Tamandua tetradactyla: one gene and its partner. The protein of the gene in region 1 purifies or fractionates together with the protein of each later gene. This does not show direct contact. Links are inferred from orthologs where the notes say so. Each region holds a gene or a part of one and is shown on either strand. Other genes may lie near its edges.

What was found.
Region 2: the proteins of NCK1 (region 1) and GIT2 purify together in Homo sapiens (co-immunoprecipitation; 3 studies listed by BioGRID and IntAct, with this or other methods). This does not show direct contact. The link is inferred for Tamandua tetradactyla from reciprocal best matches to the Homo sapiens genes NCK1 and GIT2.

The regions. Positions count from the first base shown.
Region 1 is NC_135341.1:80,872,838-80,880,269, forward strand, and holds the start of NCK1 (SH2/SH3 adapter protein NCK1), read left to right. Parts: upstream 1-4,210; 5' UTR 4,211-4,317; intron 4,318-7,432. UniProt on the Homo sapiens protein: Adapter protein which associates with tyrosine-phosphorylated growth factor receptors, such as KDR and PDGFRB, or their cellular substrates. Maintains low levels of EIF2S1 phosphorylation by promoting its dephosphorylation by PP1.
Region 2 is NC_135331.1:21,455,897-21,463,926, reverse strand, and holds the start of GIT2 (ARF GTPase-activating protein GIT2), read right to left. Parts: upstream 3,095-8,030; 5' UTR 2,944-3,094; coding exon 2,892-2,943; intron 1-2,891. Other genes in the region: ANKRD13A (ankyrin repeat domain-containing protein 13A), read left to right, coding at 5,969-6,064. UniProt on the Homo sapiens protein: GTPase-activating protein for ADP ribosylation factor family members, including ARF1.

The DNA.
Region 1 (7,432 bases):
ATATCTCTCTTCCAAAAATGCCCTTTCTAATTTTGTGGCAAGTAAAGGCACTCCTTAACCCTGAAAAAGATAGTAATAGTAATCATAGTATTGCAAAATTTATATGAGTCTTTTAAAATGGATCTAAAATGTATAAAAGTATATAAGGTAGTATTTTCTTACTTTGGGCCATTATTACTATCTTAGCACAAATGTTGATATGGCACTGGTAATTATTGTCTCTCAGCTCCAAATTCACTCATCTATACTTTGCTCGTTGATGGCTTAGACTCTGCAAGCTACATTTTTCCTTTGTCACCTGGTGTTTCACTATGTTCCACCAATAATGGGCATTAGAGGGAGCCGGGAAGGCAGAGAAGGGACTTCCTCCTTTTTGTTTGCTTGCAGTTCCGGTCATTGTTACCCCAGCAATAAGCAATAATCCTTTCCGCAGGAGCAGCAATTGGTTCCAGACTTGAGTTTCTTTCGGCAACCCCCAAACTAGCTTCCTATCCCTCTCAGAAACAGAAGGACCAGTGGGACAGTTTCCCTCCTCAAGGTTCTGAGCTCCAGCTCAGTGGGGCCATTCCTCTAAGCTTCTAAGGCCTGATCGTCCAACCTCTTCTTTTTCAGAAGTCTGAGGAGTGGAAGCTTCACCCTGTACTTATCACCTGTGAGCTACATCAGTGTTTCCTTTTTGCTTTATTAGTTGATCTACACCCAATATTAAATACTCTCTGTTATCCTATCTTGTAATCACTAAATACTCTGTATGGTCTTATCTTGAGATGGTTATGTCTTCAAACCTTCTCCAAAGGAATACAGCCATTGGTAGTATGTTTGTGCTTTGGGAAAATGTCAACATTCAGATTTTTCAGGGATTACTAGACATTGGATCTCAATAGAAATTACCCAAATTGAAAAACATAAAGAAAAAGTTGAAAAAAGTGAACAGAGCTAAGTATACTTAGCTAAAATGCCTAGCTAAGTGAAACTATAGTCCCAGAAGAGGAGAGAGAAGAGAATCAGGTAGAAAACAAATTTGGAGAACTACTGGGCAAAAATTTTCCAAATTGATAACAAACAAACAAACAGCAACGTACAGATCCAGGGAACTCAGTGAACCCTAGACAAAATAAACACAGGGAGAACTGCACCTAGAAACATCATAATTTGCCAATAAAGAAAGATCAAGGAAAAAATCCTAAAAGCAGCCAGAAAAAAGAACTAGGACATACAGAAAAATAATAAGAACTACAATTACAGTCAACTTAGATACAGTGGAGGACAGTCAACAATGGAATGACATTTAAACAACTGAAAGAAAGCCCTTTGATGGCTTCTCAATGCCTATAGGGTGAGGTGTAAGGTCTTTTACTTAACAAGATCTTCAACGACCTACCTTTGATTACATTTCTAGTCACCCTCTGTTCCAGAAATACTCTATTTTTAATCCCCCTTTTCCCCCCCTACAGGACCCTCTGCATGGAATGCCCTTCTCTTTTCTGCCTAGTTAATTGACCGACTAGCCTGATCACACAACTTTGCTGCCTTTTGACTTTATGTCCCTCTGGACATATCTATTGTATTTACTGCATTAATGCCATATTTGTATGGCATTCTCTGAAATGGATAGAGCTCCTTTAAGGCAGGGACTGAGCTTTAAATTTCCAGTACTTGTTATAGTACCTACTACAGTGTGGACCCTCAATCAATGTGTGTAGAACAGATTCCCATAAAAGTATGAAAATGTTTAATTCAGACATTGTTTAGTTACCAGGGTCTACTAACTTTGATACATCACAGTTGAGCCTATGATTAATTACTTACCTTTGCTGATAGGGCTTTTTTGGTCTAAACATTCCTGCCTGTTGGTGATGCTATCATTCTCTCTAATAATTTATAACTATAAGCTATCTATAGTTTCCCAGGAAAGGCTTTGGAACATGGAGGCTCATTTTTCCCTTCCTTGTCTTCCCAAATCCTTTTGGATTAATGACATGAGTCACCTACCTGTTTTTGTTTCTAGACAGTTATCTGCCCATATCCCAAACCCCACCTTCAGTCCACAAGTCATTAGTCTTTACCTAAATTTTGTTGTTGTCTAATTCTGGCTAGTCCCTGTTCCACTGAGCCATAATTAGCAAAGATGATTCCTGTTTTTGGTTCGCATTCCACTGACAGAGATAAGCCATGTGCCTGTATATGTTTGGAAGTAGGGGAGAGTGTGCAAAAGGTGGTCTCTGGGACAACTCCCTCCTTCTAAGTACACCAAACTGAAATTTTCATAGATGATTTTCTGCCTAACTATCCTTTCTCTCTATGCTTTCCTCTTTCATTTCAGTTTTCAATAAGAAAATTGGCTGTTTTCTTATTTTTCTACTTTGACTCTTTTTCATACATTTTTTCAGATATTTTTAACATTCTTAGTAAGAATGTGTTATGAAGCAGACTAAAGGAAAAAGTTAAGTTTATAGGGAACTGACACCCTTCTATGAAAAAGCAGATTTAAGCTCTCTCCCTTCCTTGCAGCTGTTGCTTCTATTGCTTAAATAACTGACATACAAGTTAAGAAATCTGTGAAAGGTCTGCTCAGATTACTGGCCCATTCAAAAGACAGATTCCCTTAACAAAATTAAATTTAAATGTATGACTCGAGCATATTTTTTTCTGGGATTATCTTCCCTGCTTCAGATATCAGTATAAGCTACCTGAAGGTTAGGATTCTATTTTACCAGTTTTTGAATTTACACCCCTCTCCCCCTCCTCACGTGTTAAACACGTAACTAGAATTGAATTGAGTCAGGTCCTAACAGTTTGCTGTGTGATCTTTTGGACAAATCATTTAACATCTAGATAATCATTTCTACACTTCAAAAATGAGAGAATTACTATCTCAAGCTATAAACCTTATGAGATCTTTTAATAAGTAAGAATAGCATGACATGATAACGCAAAGTTACTCAGACCCTTAGAACAAACCCCAAATTCACTTGCATTATTGATTCGGTTGCTCATAATGGAATGTGGCTACAGAGTAGCTGTTGGCCAGCTGTGTTTCACGGTCTACTTGGCGCAGCCAACTTGAGGCCCGGAAGTAACTACAGGCGATTTGTGCTTGACCTTGTGATTCCCCATATGGCAGGCAAACCACATGCATACATCAGCACGCAAACGGATCATTTTGTAGTTGAATCGTTAAATACAAATAACTGCCATGACCCTGGGATTTAGTCAGGGACAGGATTAAAGGAGGGAAAGATGCATTAACGCCTTAAACAAATATTTACCGCTGTCTTTCATGTGCCCTGGGGAAAAGCTGAACAGACACTGACATAGTTCCTGACCTAAGGGAATTTACAGTTTAGATGGGAACAAGGACTACAGTTCTGTTGGGAAACGGATCTGCAATCCGAGAAAGGTAACGTAAGCCTGCAGGCTTCTCGGAGGAAGCAACACTTAAACTGAGCAACAAAGAGAGGGAGCAGGGAACTAGGCCGATGTCGCCGGGGGCTGGGGAGGGCCTGCAGGGCTGGGGGAAGGGGGGGAGAACTAAATACTGCCTACCCAGCAGGTGGCCGGGACTGGCCACGGAGAACGATTACCCCAGGCGAGACTGGAAGCTGCCCTTCCAAGGCCCTCAGCGCCAGCTCATTTCGGCTTATGGACCAAATATAAGCATATAGCTTGCATTTTTTTCCCCTCCCATGTACCTATTTCCTAGCCCTTTTGCTCGCTCCCCGCCCCCAGGAACCTTCAGCTGCCAAGATCCTCAGGGACAAAATCCAGGGAGGAAGTAAATTCTCAGAGCAGCTGGGGCTGAACTCCACAAGCAGTGACTTTTTGCAGCGGAGTGGCTCTGCGGGCGCTGAGCAGCAAGGCTCAAAATCGTCAGCTGCAGCAGCCGGGGAGCAGCGGCGGAGAGACTCCGACCCAGCGCAGCCCACCCGCTAGTCCTCTGGCCTGTGGTCGCAGCGCAGCCTCAGCTCCCGCCACGCCCACTTCAGCGCTTGATTGACAGCTCGGCCTGCTCAATCCTAGAGCGGCACCAACCACCGTCGAGGGAGGGGCTGGAGAGAAGGGAACGGGCGAGCCTATCAGGACCCGCTGGGAGAGCGAGGTTTCCTGTCGGGGCGGATCCGCCGGTAAGTGCTCGGCCAGTCGGCGCCGCCGCCCGCCCACCCGCCGGCCGCGCGCGCTCCGCCCCCGCCCCGCCCCTCTCCCAAGAGCTACGCGGCGGCGGAGCGCAGGCCTCGTGCCGTAACGGCCATCGCGGCGGCCGCGGCGGCGTCCTGGTGGGCTCCTCAGGGGAGCTGGAGCGGCCTCGGCGCCGCAGAGGTGAGTCGAGGCGAGGCGGGGCGGCTTCGGGGCAGAGCCACGCCGGGAGGCCGCATCTCTCTCCCTCCCCTGTGTGTCCGCCCGGCTGGTGACTCGCCGTGTCGCTTCCTCTTCTCTGGCGAAGTTAGCAGCCCCGGCGCCTTCTGCCGGCTCCGAGCTGAGGGCAGCCGGAGGGGGGCGGGGAGCCCGCGGGGCCGGGCCTGGGCGTTCGCACCGCGGCCCCGCGCGCCCCTCGGGCCTCCCTGTCTGGCCCCGGGACACCGCGTCGGGGTGAGCGCGCCGGCCGGCGACCCTTGCGAGGCCCGGGTGGGCGGCTGTGCGGCGCGCGCTTCCCAGCCTGCTTGCCTTCTTAGAGAAAGTCCTGCTGGTTGCCGTGTGCCTAAACCGAGGCGGGGAAGGTGTGGACAGGATGGAGAAGGGCCGGGCGGGGGAGGGGCTGGCACCTCCCGGCCGAGGGGAGGGGAGGCGCCGGGCCGGGCGCTGAGGGGTGGACATATGGACGGCCCCTCCTCCCTCCCCCACCCCCAGCAGCTTTCCTCATCCTCGGGAAATCTGGGTGGTTTTTTTTTTTTTTTGATGGTTCGGACCAGCCTTAGTTCCATTCGCGAGTTGCTCGGGCTGCGGGATTTTGACTTGAGTTGTAATATATCCGTTAAAAGATTATCTTGATAGGTTGGTCTTGTAACCTTTCCTAATGTATTTCCATAAAAGTTAATTTCGCCCTTTGAAGCTTGGGAAGCTAGGTGTTGTGCAAGAGCTGAAGGTAACGTTATAGGCGCTTATCTGATGTCGAGCTGAGGAATTGAAGTCACCGAAAATTCTAACCGTTAGTTAGGAAAGAATAAAAAGGGTTTAAAGGAGAATTTTCTAACCTCATTTTCGGAGGGGAGAAAAGCATCTCAGTGTCTGGTCAAAACGGGTAGGTATTGCAAGATTTAAAAAAAGAATCTTACTCTGATAGGTTTATGAAAAAACATTAACGATTTATTAAGCCCCCCATTTTTCAGCGAGGTCACAGATTAAATGGGGGAAATAATTCAACGAAAAGTTTTTTTTTTTTTGTAGTTGTCAGTAATGGACCGTTCTTAAATAGGCATCCCCTTAAAGCTAGATTACTCAGTAGGTTTGCATTGCTTAACCAATAGTAGTTTCATTTCATCTTGACCCAGAACTCTGGGATTTTTTTCTTTGGGAAAATTGTGATTTGTAGGAATTAACTCTAATATCTGTAAATACAGTTTACAGGGTGTACAAGTCTTGTGCACAGTTGTGTTTGTTCATGTATTGAATTTTAAATTCTTTGCTGTATCTCTCCACGTATTACTTGTTAGCCCAGATCTTCCCAGTGCTTTGAGGCCCATGTAAAACCTGAACCATAGATGGAATGCTTTGTTAGACATTGAGTGATGCTTTGCGCTGCTGGGTTTCTTGTTTTTCCTTTGACTTTGACGTTTTGATTAATTTCTGTTGTGGAATCGGATTAAAAATCTCCTTAATTTCTTTAAAAGAAAAAGCTTGTTTTCTCTAACTTTGTTTAGAGAAAATAGTACAAAATGTAAATATATTGCTCAACGAATTGTTCAATTTGGGAAGACATCAGTATATTCATCACCCAAGATTTAGAACATTTCCAGGGCGGCAGAAGACTCATGCCCCCTCTCCTATAGCCACTATTCTCACCTGTCACTAGGTGAGAATTAAATTACTTTTGCCTGTTCTTGAATTTAATGCAAATGCAAGCAATATGTACTGTTTTTTGTGGATAGCTTATTTAGCTTATCATTGTGTTTGTGAGATTCATCATGATGTTGGGTGTAGCAGCAGTTGGTAATACTCCTACGGGTGAATATACTACAATTTTCTTCTTTTAAATTAAGCATTGGTGGGCTTTTGGCTTGTTTTCCAGTTTTGGGCTATTGTGAATAAAGTTGCTGTGAATATTCTTGCCTAAGTTTTTCAGTGGATATACATGCTCCTTTCTTTTGGGTGTATATATACTGGGAATAGAATTGCACTTTCGGTATCTACCAGTTTTTGAAGCTGCTTGAACCTGCCCTCCGTATCTGGTACATAATAGTTTTTTTGAAATTTCCCCCTTTATCATAAAACTGGTGACTCCCTTTGCCTTTCTCCTGTGTTAAGTCTGTTTCTGTGAGTTATGCAGTTCTTTTTCTTGGTTTATTCCCTCCTTTTGAAGGAGTATATCCTACAGTAGCTTCCTGTGAAAGGTTGAGACCTTGCATTTGTGGAAACCTTTTTTCTGCCTTCCCACTTGGTTTGATTGGGTGACCAGTTTTAGGTTGGAAATATTTTTCATTCAGAATTTTTAAGGTGTTGCTCAATTGTTTTCTAGCTTGTGAACCTTTTGAGAATTCTGAAGATAATTCTTATTTCTGCTCCTGTGTAATGTTTGTTTCTTTTCTGGAAGTCTGTATATCCTGTATTCTTAAATTTCATAGGATGTGCTGTTTTCATGGACATTTATTATGTCTTCTAAATCTACAAAATTATTTTCATCAGGTGTGGGAAGTTTTTTGAATTATTTTTTCAGTGTATTTCTGTCACCTCCTTTTTCTTTCTCTTTCTCTGAACATTCTATTATTTGGTTGGACCTCTTTGACTAGTTTCCTTTTTTCTTATATTTCTTCTATTATTCGTCTAGTAGTTTTGCTGTATTTTATGTGGGTGGTTTCCTTGATTTTATTTCCTAAGCCATCTGCTGGAGTTTTCATTTTTCCTGTAAAGATTTTGAGTTCTTTATTCTCTTAAAATTTCGTTTTTATATAGTATAGAGTTCTTGTTTCATGTTTGCAAATCTTTAATTTCTGAGGAAATAACATTACTTAAAAAACAACTTGTTTTCTCCTCTCAGAGTTTGTTTCCTCTAAGTTGTTTTTTTTTTCCATTTCTTTTGGTCTCTAACTTTTATGTTGGAGGATTACATCAGATGTCAGTCTTTAGGTGTTTATTGGTGATTGACAGCTAAAAAGCCTGATTACCTGATGGGGACTTATAGACTGAATTTCATTGTATAATGTTCTAAATGAGCCTTTTTTTTTTTTTTTTTTTTTTTGAGAAAACTTGATGTCTGGGAAGTATCTGTTGGGTTATGAGA
Region 2 (8,030 bases), on another chromosome or scaffold:
GCTCTTTCAAACCATATACAGAAAAATTACGGTATTTCAATCAAAGACAAACCCTAGGGGTTTGAAAGTATGATGGTTAAGAAGGTTGGCTCCAGAGACAAGCAGGCCAGGGTTTGAGCCCCAATTCTGCCACTTGTGGTACAATATCCTCGGGCAAGTTACTTCTTTTGAGTCTCTTCACCATGGGTCAAATGGTAATGATACCTACATTTCGGGGTAGAAAAGAATAAGTAATGGGTGCATAGTAAGTACTCAGTGATGTTAGTTGTTATATCTTTTCTAAACAGCATTCAGATATCTTCAAGAACCTACTGAAATTCATGATCACTGGGAAAAGTTTTTGATTAGAAATACTTAAAAAACAGTGAATGCTTCATGTGAATACTGTACTACTATAGTACAGTATAGTGAAAATCTCACCAGATTTTTCAGGTAATTGCACTCAGAGTATGACGTATTTTAAAACTAACTAGATTCATTAAGATAAGTGAAATATTTAAGAAGTCATTGTGGCTAAATGTTTGCCCTAAAACAAAACAGAAACAAAGTAATTCAAGGATGCATAACTCTCTCAGTACTACTATACTGAGCAAGGATTGAAGATATCAAGATGAGGGTTATTTAAAATGATATATAGGAACATTTTTTTTTTTGCAGTCTGGTACTACTGTTAATGACCATAAAAACCTATTTGCTTTGAAGCATAGCTTTGATTTTCATGTATCACCCAGATGATTTACAGTATTCTTGGAGGAAATTAAACAGCACCAAGACAGTGAGGATTTAACACACCTTAAGCAAGGTTCTCAAATGATCATTTTAACATCATGTACCAGAATCCTGGGGAAAGAATACTAGAATGTCACAACATAGTAAAATCAAAATCAAGTTTGCATGAATGAAGTTGGGCAAAACCCTTCCAGCTTATCTGGATATTTTATGTCAGGGCTTCTTATACAGGGTTCATGGACACCACAAATGGGTTTCAGAATTGTCTGTAACTCGAGTGAGAAATCCTAAGTAAAATCTGTGTGAGAGTGTGAATACCAGTGCATTTTCTGGGGAGTGGCGTCTTTGCTTTCATCAGATTCTCAAAGGGGTTCCTCAATGGAAAGGTAATTCTTTCACCAGAGTTTTGCAGAAAAGAAGCACAAATTCCTAGCTGCTCAAGTTCACAGAACAGTTCAAGGTAGCCTAATTATACTCAAAACAGGAAGGAAGTGACTCAAGTCTCTGTAGACTATGCATATGAAACAACAGCTAAAATGATACAATGGAAGAGAAAATGTTCTGAAATGTACAAAACGCCACAAAGTGAAAAGCAGTCTCGGGGCAGCAACGGAGAAGCAACTCCCCTTAGCCCCACAGCGTCTTTTGAGAAGTAAAGAATACTCATTCTAAGAGGAAGTTTGATGCTAGACACGTGAATCAAACACATCTCTGAAAGTTCAACTGAAAACAGGCAAGAAAAGAAGGAAGCGGAACAAATAACACTTTTAGAGAATAAAAATGGAGTTTATATAACCCACCCTAACTTGATTATGAAGCATCTCTTTTTAAACCCTTTTACCCCTCTTCCCGTCTTTAAAGGAAACTGGTAATCCTGGTTGCATTGTACAGGCCATGACACAACCACGTAGGTTTGAGTTATCACAGTACAATTTAAAATCAGTCTCAACTTCCAAATCACAAGATGAAGTTCAAAACAGTTGCAAAAACATGTTTATGATTTCATTAACACTGTTTCTTGGGTGCTATTGTGCCAAGTCAACCATCTGACTTTTGAATTACTTCAAACACAACATAGATAAATGCAAGCACTGAAAATAGCATATAATAATCTAACCATAGAGACCTGACAATTCAGTTCCAATTGCAAAGACAGCTCGGAACCCTAAATCTGAAAAGTGCACATAGGTGGAAATGGCTTCGGCCTTTTAATAGCCACAACATGCTTACAGTCCCTGAATAATACTCAGATGTGTATTCTGCCGAGTGATTTTGTGTTTACTTGGTAAGCTGTAATTAATATATGACTTAGGAATTAAATCTAGTTTTAAGAGATTATGAGGGTTCCGTACTGAAGAACATAATACAAAAAAGAACAAAAAACTTTAACAGGATCATAAGAACATTTACTGAATCTTCCTAGCCCCTGAGCACAGTACTCCCAATTTTCCCCATCGGAAAAATAAGGAAATCGAGGTTTGGCCAAACAAAGTCACCAGTCCAAGGTCACCCTTGGGAAAACCAGGTTTGAACCCAGGCTGTTCAGCTCCCAAACTCGAGACAGGCACTGTTTCCCAGGCGCTGCCTGGCGCTGCCGGCCCTCAACGTCCTGGATTCTCCCCCGTGGAGTGGGAGCGGGATGTCAAAAGCCAGGAAGTCATCTGCCCCAGAGGCCCCTCGACGTGCCTTGGTGAAGGAAGCCGCGAGTGTCGCCCACCCCGGGCGAGGGACAGGGTGACCGGTGGGGGTGACACCTGCAGCTTCTGGGGGCCGCATCCGCGAAGACGTTCGCAGTTTACTTCTGTAATTGGTTTTCCTGTGGCTTGCCCAAGCCCCTTCCTGTTAGGGGAGAGGGCCCGGCCCCAGCCCCCGCCCCCACCACCGGTCTGGGATGAAGGGGAATGGGCGGGGGGGGGGGGGGGGGGAGGTGTTGGTGGTGTGAGAGGGAAGGGAAGGAAGGGAGGGGGCGGCCCCCGCCCCGTCCGACTCTGACAGGCCTGGAACAAGCCCTGCCCCAGAGCCGCCTTCGGTTCCCCTTCGCTGCGACCACGGCCGAGGGGCGCGGGGCTCGCCGGCGGGGACCTGCCGGACCCGAGGGGGCGGCCCGGGGCAGGGGTCCCGGCCAGGAGAGGAGGGGAGCGGGCCCGGCCGGTGCGACTCACCCGGCCCGCTGCAGTCAGCGCACACCTCGCTGCTCCGGAGCCGCTTCGACATGGCTCCCGCCTCCCACGCGTCAGGAGCTAGGGGCCCCGGGACACCTAAGGCGGCGGCAGGAGCGCTTCCGCTTAACGGGTCCCTGCGGCGGCGCTAGCGGTGGCGCCTCTCCCCTCAGCGACTCGGAATAGCGGCGCAGCACGCAGGCGCAAGGAGGCTCCCTTCGGCGATATAGGTCATGTGACCGGACAGGGCACGCTGCCTTGTCGCCATCTTGAGTAAGGGCAGGCTCCTCCCCAGCATCTTTCGCTTTACTTCTAAATCTTGAATTTAGGTCCCCCTGGAAGAGATATGCCTCCTCGCAGCACCGATAAATACCAGGGGAAGCAGCAAAATCTAATGACTAGAGCGCTGCAGCCACAACCTTCCTGAGACAATCGGTGGCCATTTACTGTAACATTGGCCGAGTTCATTCATTCAGTCAACAAATACTTATTGAGCCCAGCTATGTGCCAAACATTGTCAGGAACGAGAGAAACAGCAGTGAGCAAAGCAGACAAAATTTCCTGTACTTATGGATGTTACATTCTATTGAGGTTGATCTGCAATAAAATAAGTCAAGTATAGAATATGTTAGATGCTTTCATCTTTAGAATTCAGTTTTAATCTCATCTGCAAAACGGAGTCCACGATTTGTTTTTATACGGCTTGCTACCTAAGAATAGTCTTCACCTTTTTAAAAGGTTTTAAGGAGAAGAAAAAGGAGAAAGAAGAGGAAGAGGAAGAATATGCAACAGAACTACAATGTGACCCACAAAACGTGAATATTTATTATCTGGCCAAGGACAAATGGAGTAATTTATGAAGAAGCATGTTGTGCCTGCCCCATAGGAAACCCGCAATAGATAGTAACCACCACTATTATTGGTATTTTATTATTTTCTAATCACTGCTCTTCTTCATATACTTGGAATTTGAGAATAAGAATCCTGAAGGAAAGTAATTTATAGGATGGTGTGAGATAAACACAATGAAGTGAGGTTAATTAGTGTGAAGGAGAGAAGAGATGTGAGCCTAACGCTAATGAACATTTATTGTATATGTTACATGCAAACAGGATTATAATCTCCATTTAGCAAATATTGGATGCCCATGATGGGCCAGGTACTGTTTTGGCTTCAGGTAGTCTGGTGAACAAAACAGAAGTGGTCCCTACCACTGTGGGGTTTTCAGACTGAGATAGGAGAGATGTTCAATTAACATGGGATGATGGAGAGAATGAAATTAAGTTGTATGAGGCTTCTGAAAAGAAAAGAAGTCCTGGAAAAGGCCTCAGAAGCATGACCCAGGATCCATCTCTCCAGTTTGATAAATGTGTGATGTGGAAATAGCCACACAGTTCCTGCACATTCCACAGTCTGAATCTATGGGTGCTATCTTGATGCTCTTGTTTCCTGTTTTGGTTCCCCGACTCACAAATCATCTGGGTTCAACACATGTGGAGAATGGATTAGCCCAGAATTCTCGAACAGCTGTCGTTGCAGACATCTGAAAAGCTGGTTGTGCACAGGCAGGAAAGGCAGAGAGGATGCTTTTAGGATGCATTGAATAACTTTGCTGAGCTAGGTTGTGTAGTTGTAGACAATTGAGCAGTAGCAGCAGCAGCAGCAGCAGCATGGAGCTCAGGCTGGTTAGTAGCTATAAGCTGACTTGGTTCTTTATTGATTCAAGAAGATACAGTGTCTGAAGTTGAAATCCAAGGATGAACTTCATATTTGCAGATTGTGGTAAAGTCTAAGTATTATATATGCACCCTTCCAGCCATAATTACAAATCCAAATGGTTAGCTTCAGGCAGGCCACGGTGGCTCAGCAGACAGAGTTCTTGTCTGCCATACTGGTGACCTGGATTCGATTCCTGCGTGTCTGCCTGCCCATGAAAAAAAAAAAAATAACAGTCATATGTGAAGTAAACTACCAGCACAGGTTCTTTCTTTTTTCTTTTTTTAATTAGAGAAGTTGTAGATTTACAGAAAAATCATGCATAAAATATAGAGTTCCCATAAACCACTCTATTATTAACACCTTGTATTAGTGTGCCACAGATATTTTTGAATCATAACCAAATTTGGAGTTCATATAGACAGTGGTTCTCAGCTGGGGGCGACATTGATCCCCCAGGGGATGTTTGGCGAAAAAAATTTTGAAGGGTGCTAAATTGGCCACCAGTGGATAGAGAAGAGGGAAGCTACTCAATATCCTACAAAACACAGGAAAGGACCTCAAACAAAGAATTATCTGGCCCCAAATGTGCTGAGGTTGAGAAACCTTGAGATAGAACTATGCTTCTATTATGCAAATATTAGATGCCACTTTCCCAGGGTTTATAGTTCTCCCTTTACAACTATTTTTGGTGTTGCCCACTTCCAAAATGGCTACTGACAAATCATAGAAGCTTCTGCCCTGGTCCAAAAAGGCTGCAAGGGGATGGTTTAGTCCAGGCCACTCAGACACCCCCCCCCCATCGCAGAGCCAATGGAAGCGGCCCAGTTGTGGAGCGCACAACTGTGGGTAGATAAAGCAGGGGGGACGAGGCTAGAGACGGATAGACCGATTTTTCCTTATTAAGACTTCGGGCCAAGAGAGGGAATTCTAGCTCCGTGTAGACGTTGGTATTGAGTTTTCCGGTGTGCAGTTAGGGGGTAATGGGGTCGAGAGGACACCCGGCCGGGTCCCTGGCTTCGCTCCCCCTGCCGCAGCGCGCAGTGGTTCGCTCCCCGCACTTCCCTGTTTGGGACAGTTCGGCCCCGAAGTCGGTTCGCGAGCTGTCAACGCCGGCGGGAGCGCGGCGGGGCGCGGGGTGGGCGCGGCCGACCTGGTCCCCGACCCGGCCCGCGACCCCCGACCTGCCGTGCGCCCCGCTCCTGGCTCTCTAGGCCACCCGGCCGAGCAGCGCGCCCCTCGCTCGCTCGCCTGGTTCTCTCGCTCGCTGGCTGCCGGCCGGGCGGACGGACGGACCCCGGAGACCCCGCCGGGGCCAAGACCTCAGTGAACGGGCGGCGAGGGCCCTCTGAGGTCTCCTCGCCATGTCTTCGGCCCACGACGACGGCAGCCACTTCCCTCTGCACCTTCTAGTCTGGAACAACGACTACCGGCAGCTGGAGAAGGAGCTGCGGGGCCAGGTGAGGGACTGGGCGGCCGGCCGTGGCCCGAAGGGGAGAAGGCGGGGGTCGATTCGCCTCGTTGAACCCATTTCCAGCCCCCAACCCCCTGGCCCCGCTGACCCTTTCAACTCTGCACTCGTGGTCCGATCATTGTAATAATAGTAGGACATGTATTGAGTGCTTACTGTGTGCCAGGCCCTGTGCCGAGGGCTTTATACATGATCTTTTTTTAACCTCTCCAACCCTTGGGAGGTAAATAGGTACGATTATTATTCCGTTTGACAGAGAAGGAAACTGAGGCTCTCAGAGGTTATGTGCAAGGTCGTCTGGCTCTTAAATACCAAGTCGGGATTTTAAGGCAGGCTGGCTGGTTCCAGAGTGGTCCCTTTTAACCAATAGGCTCTACTGCCTCTCAAAGACTGAAAATGACACACACACACCTCATCCACCCTTACTGCCTCTCAAAGACTGAGAATGACACACGCGCGCGCACACGCCTCATCTCACCCACCCTTACTGTAAGGAAAGGCACGGTTGGGTTTGGAGTCCTGGTTCTAATTAGCTCTGTGACCTTGGGCAAGGCATTTTCCCTCACTGACCCAAGTTAGCTTATCAGTTGAATGGGGGTATTGCTGCTATTATGTGCAAACCCCGGTTCTCGGCTATGTTGATAGGTCCGGGTGGGGAGGCCCAGGAATCAGCATTTTAACAAACTCCCCAGGGAGCCTGATGCTTACCAGAGTGAGAATCATTTGTGCATAAGATCCTTAAAAAATCCATTCCTTGTCTAAAGTGCTTTGAATCTTTGTCTTTTATTTATTGCCATCCCTTTAAGGTAGTGGTTTTTAACTGAAAGTGATTTGGCCTCCCCTGGCTCCTAACCCAGGGACATTTGGCAATGCCTGGAGACATTTTTGGTTGTAAATGAGTGTTGGGATGATGTGCTACTGGCATCTAGTGGGTGGTGGCCAGGGATGCTGCTCAACATCCTGAGAAACACAGGATAACCCTCCACACAGAGAATTATCCAGCCAAAAATGTCAGTAAGTGTGTTGACTGAGAAGCCCTGCTGTAAAGACATCCTAACAATTTTGAGGGGTATTGGTGCCCTCAGGTAAGAAGCTGACAGACTGAGCAGTTAGGATAAGGATTTGTAACTACCTCTGAAATCTGGTGTAATTGTAGTTGTCCACTCATTTCATCCAGTGTGCTCAAGGCCTGGTTTTTGAATGGTTCAAAATTGGTCATGTAATTGTCAAGTCTTTTTAGAGGAAAGGGATGGTTGGCAAAAATTAGGCTAGGTCAGCATCACCCTGTTTGGTGAACTGTTAATGCTAAAGGGCATGTTTTAAGTCTCTTGAGCATCCATTAAAAGTCAGAAGTCTCCCTTTTTCATTTAAACCCTCTGTTCAAATGGAATAAACTTTTGAAGTCAGTGGACTTGATAAGATAATAGAGTTAAGAGCTAAGGAGATATGACATCTACCCCAAACGAAAAGATTTGCTAATTAGGCCTCCCAGTATACTTGATGATTTAATTCCCCTTCTTTTGCTGGATTGGGCTCAGAGGGAATCCTCTCTTATTACTTTTAGCTCTGTTTCTAAATCTCACCTTGGAACTTTAAAAATGATGAGACTGGTTCTGGTTTTTAGGTGTCTGCTGTATTTTGCATCTGCACTTCCTCAGTATTATGGCCTCTGCTTCTTGAGAAATGTCAAGAGAAAGTACAAGAAAGTCAGAACTAAAATCCCGTTTGGTAGAAAGGTTCTTTATAATCATTAAACCACATACTCTTTCAATACCAATACCTGAAAACACCAAGCTTTCTATTCATTGTTAGGGAAGAAAGTGAATTGCAGTTTTCCTTTACAGAATATCAGCACTTCTTTGATAAGACAAGAACAAATAAGGTCTTGGCTTATAATTTAAAATGGAACTCAGCTGAATTATCTCTTTTTTTTTTTTTGCATGGGCAGGCACTGG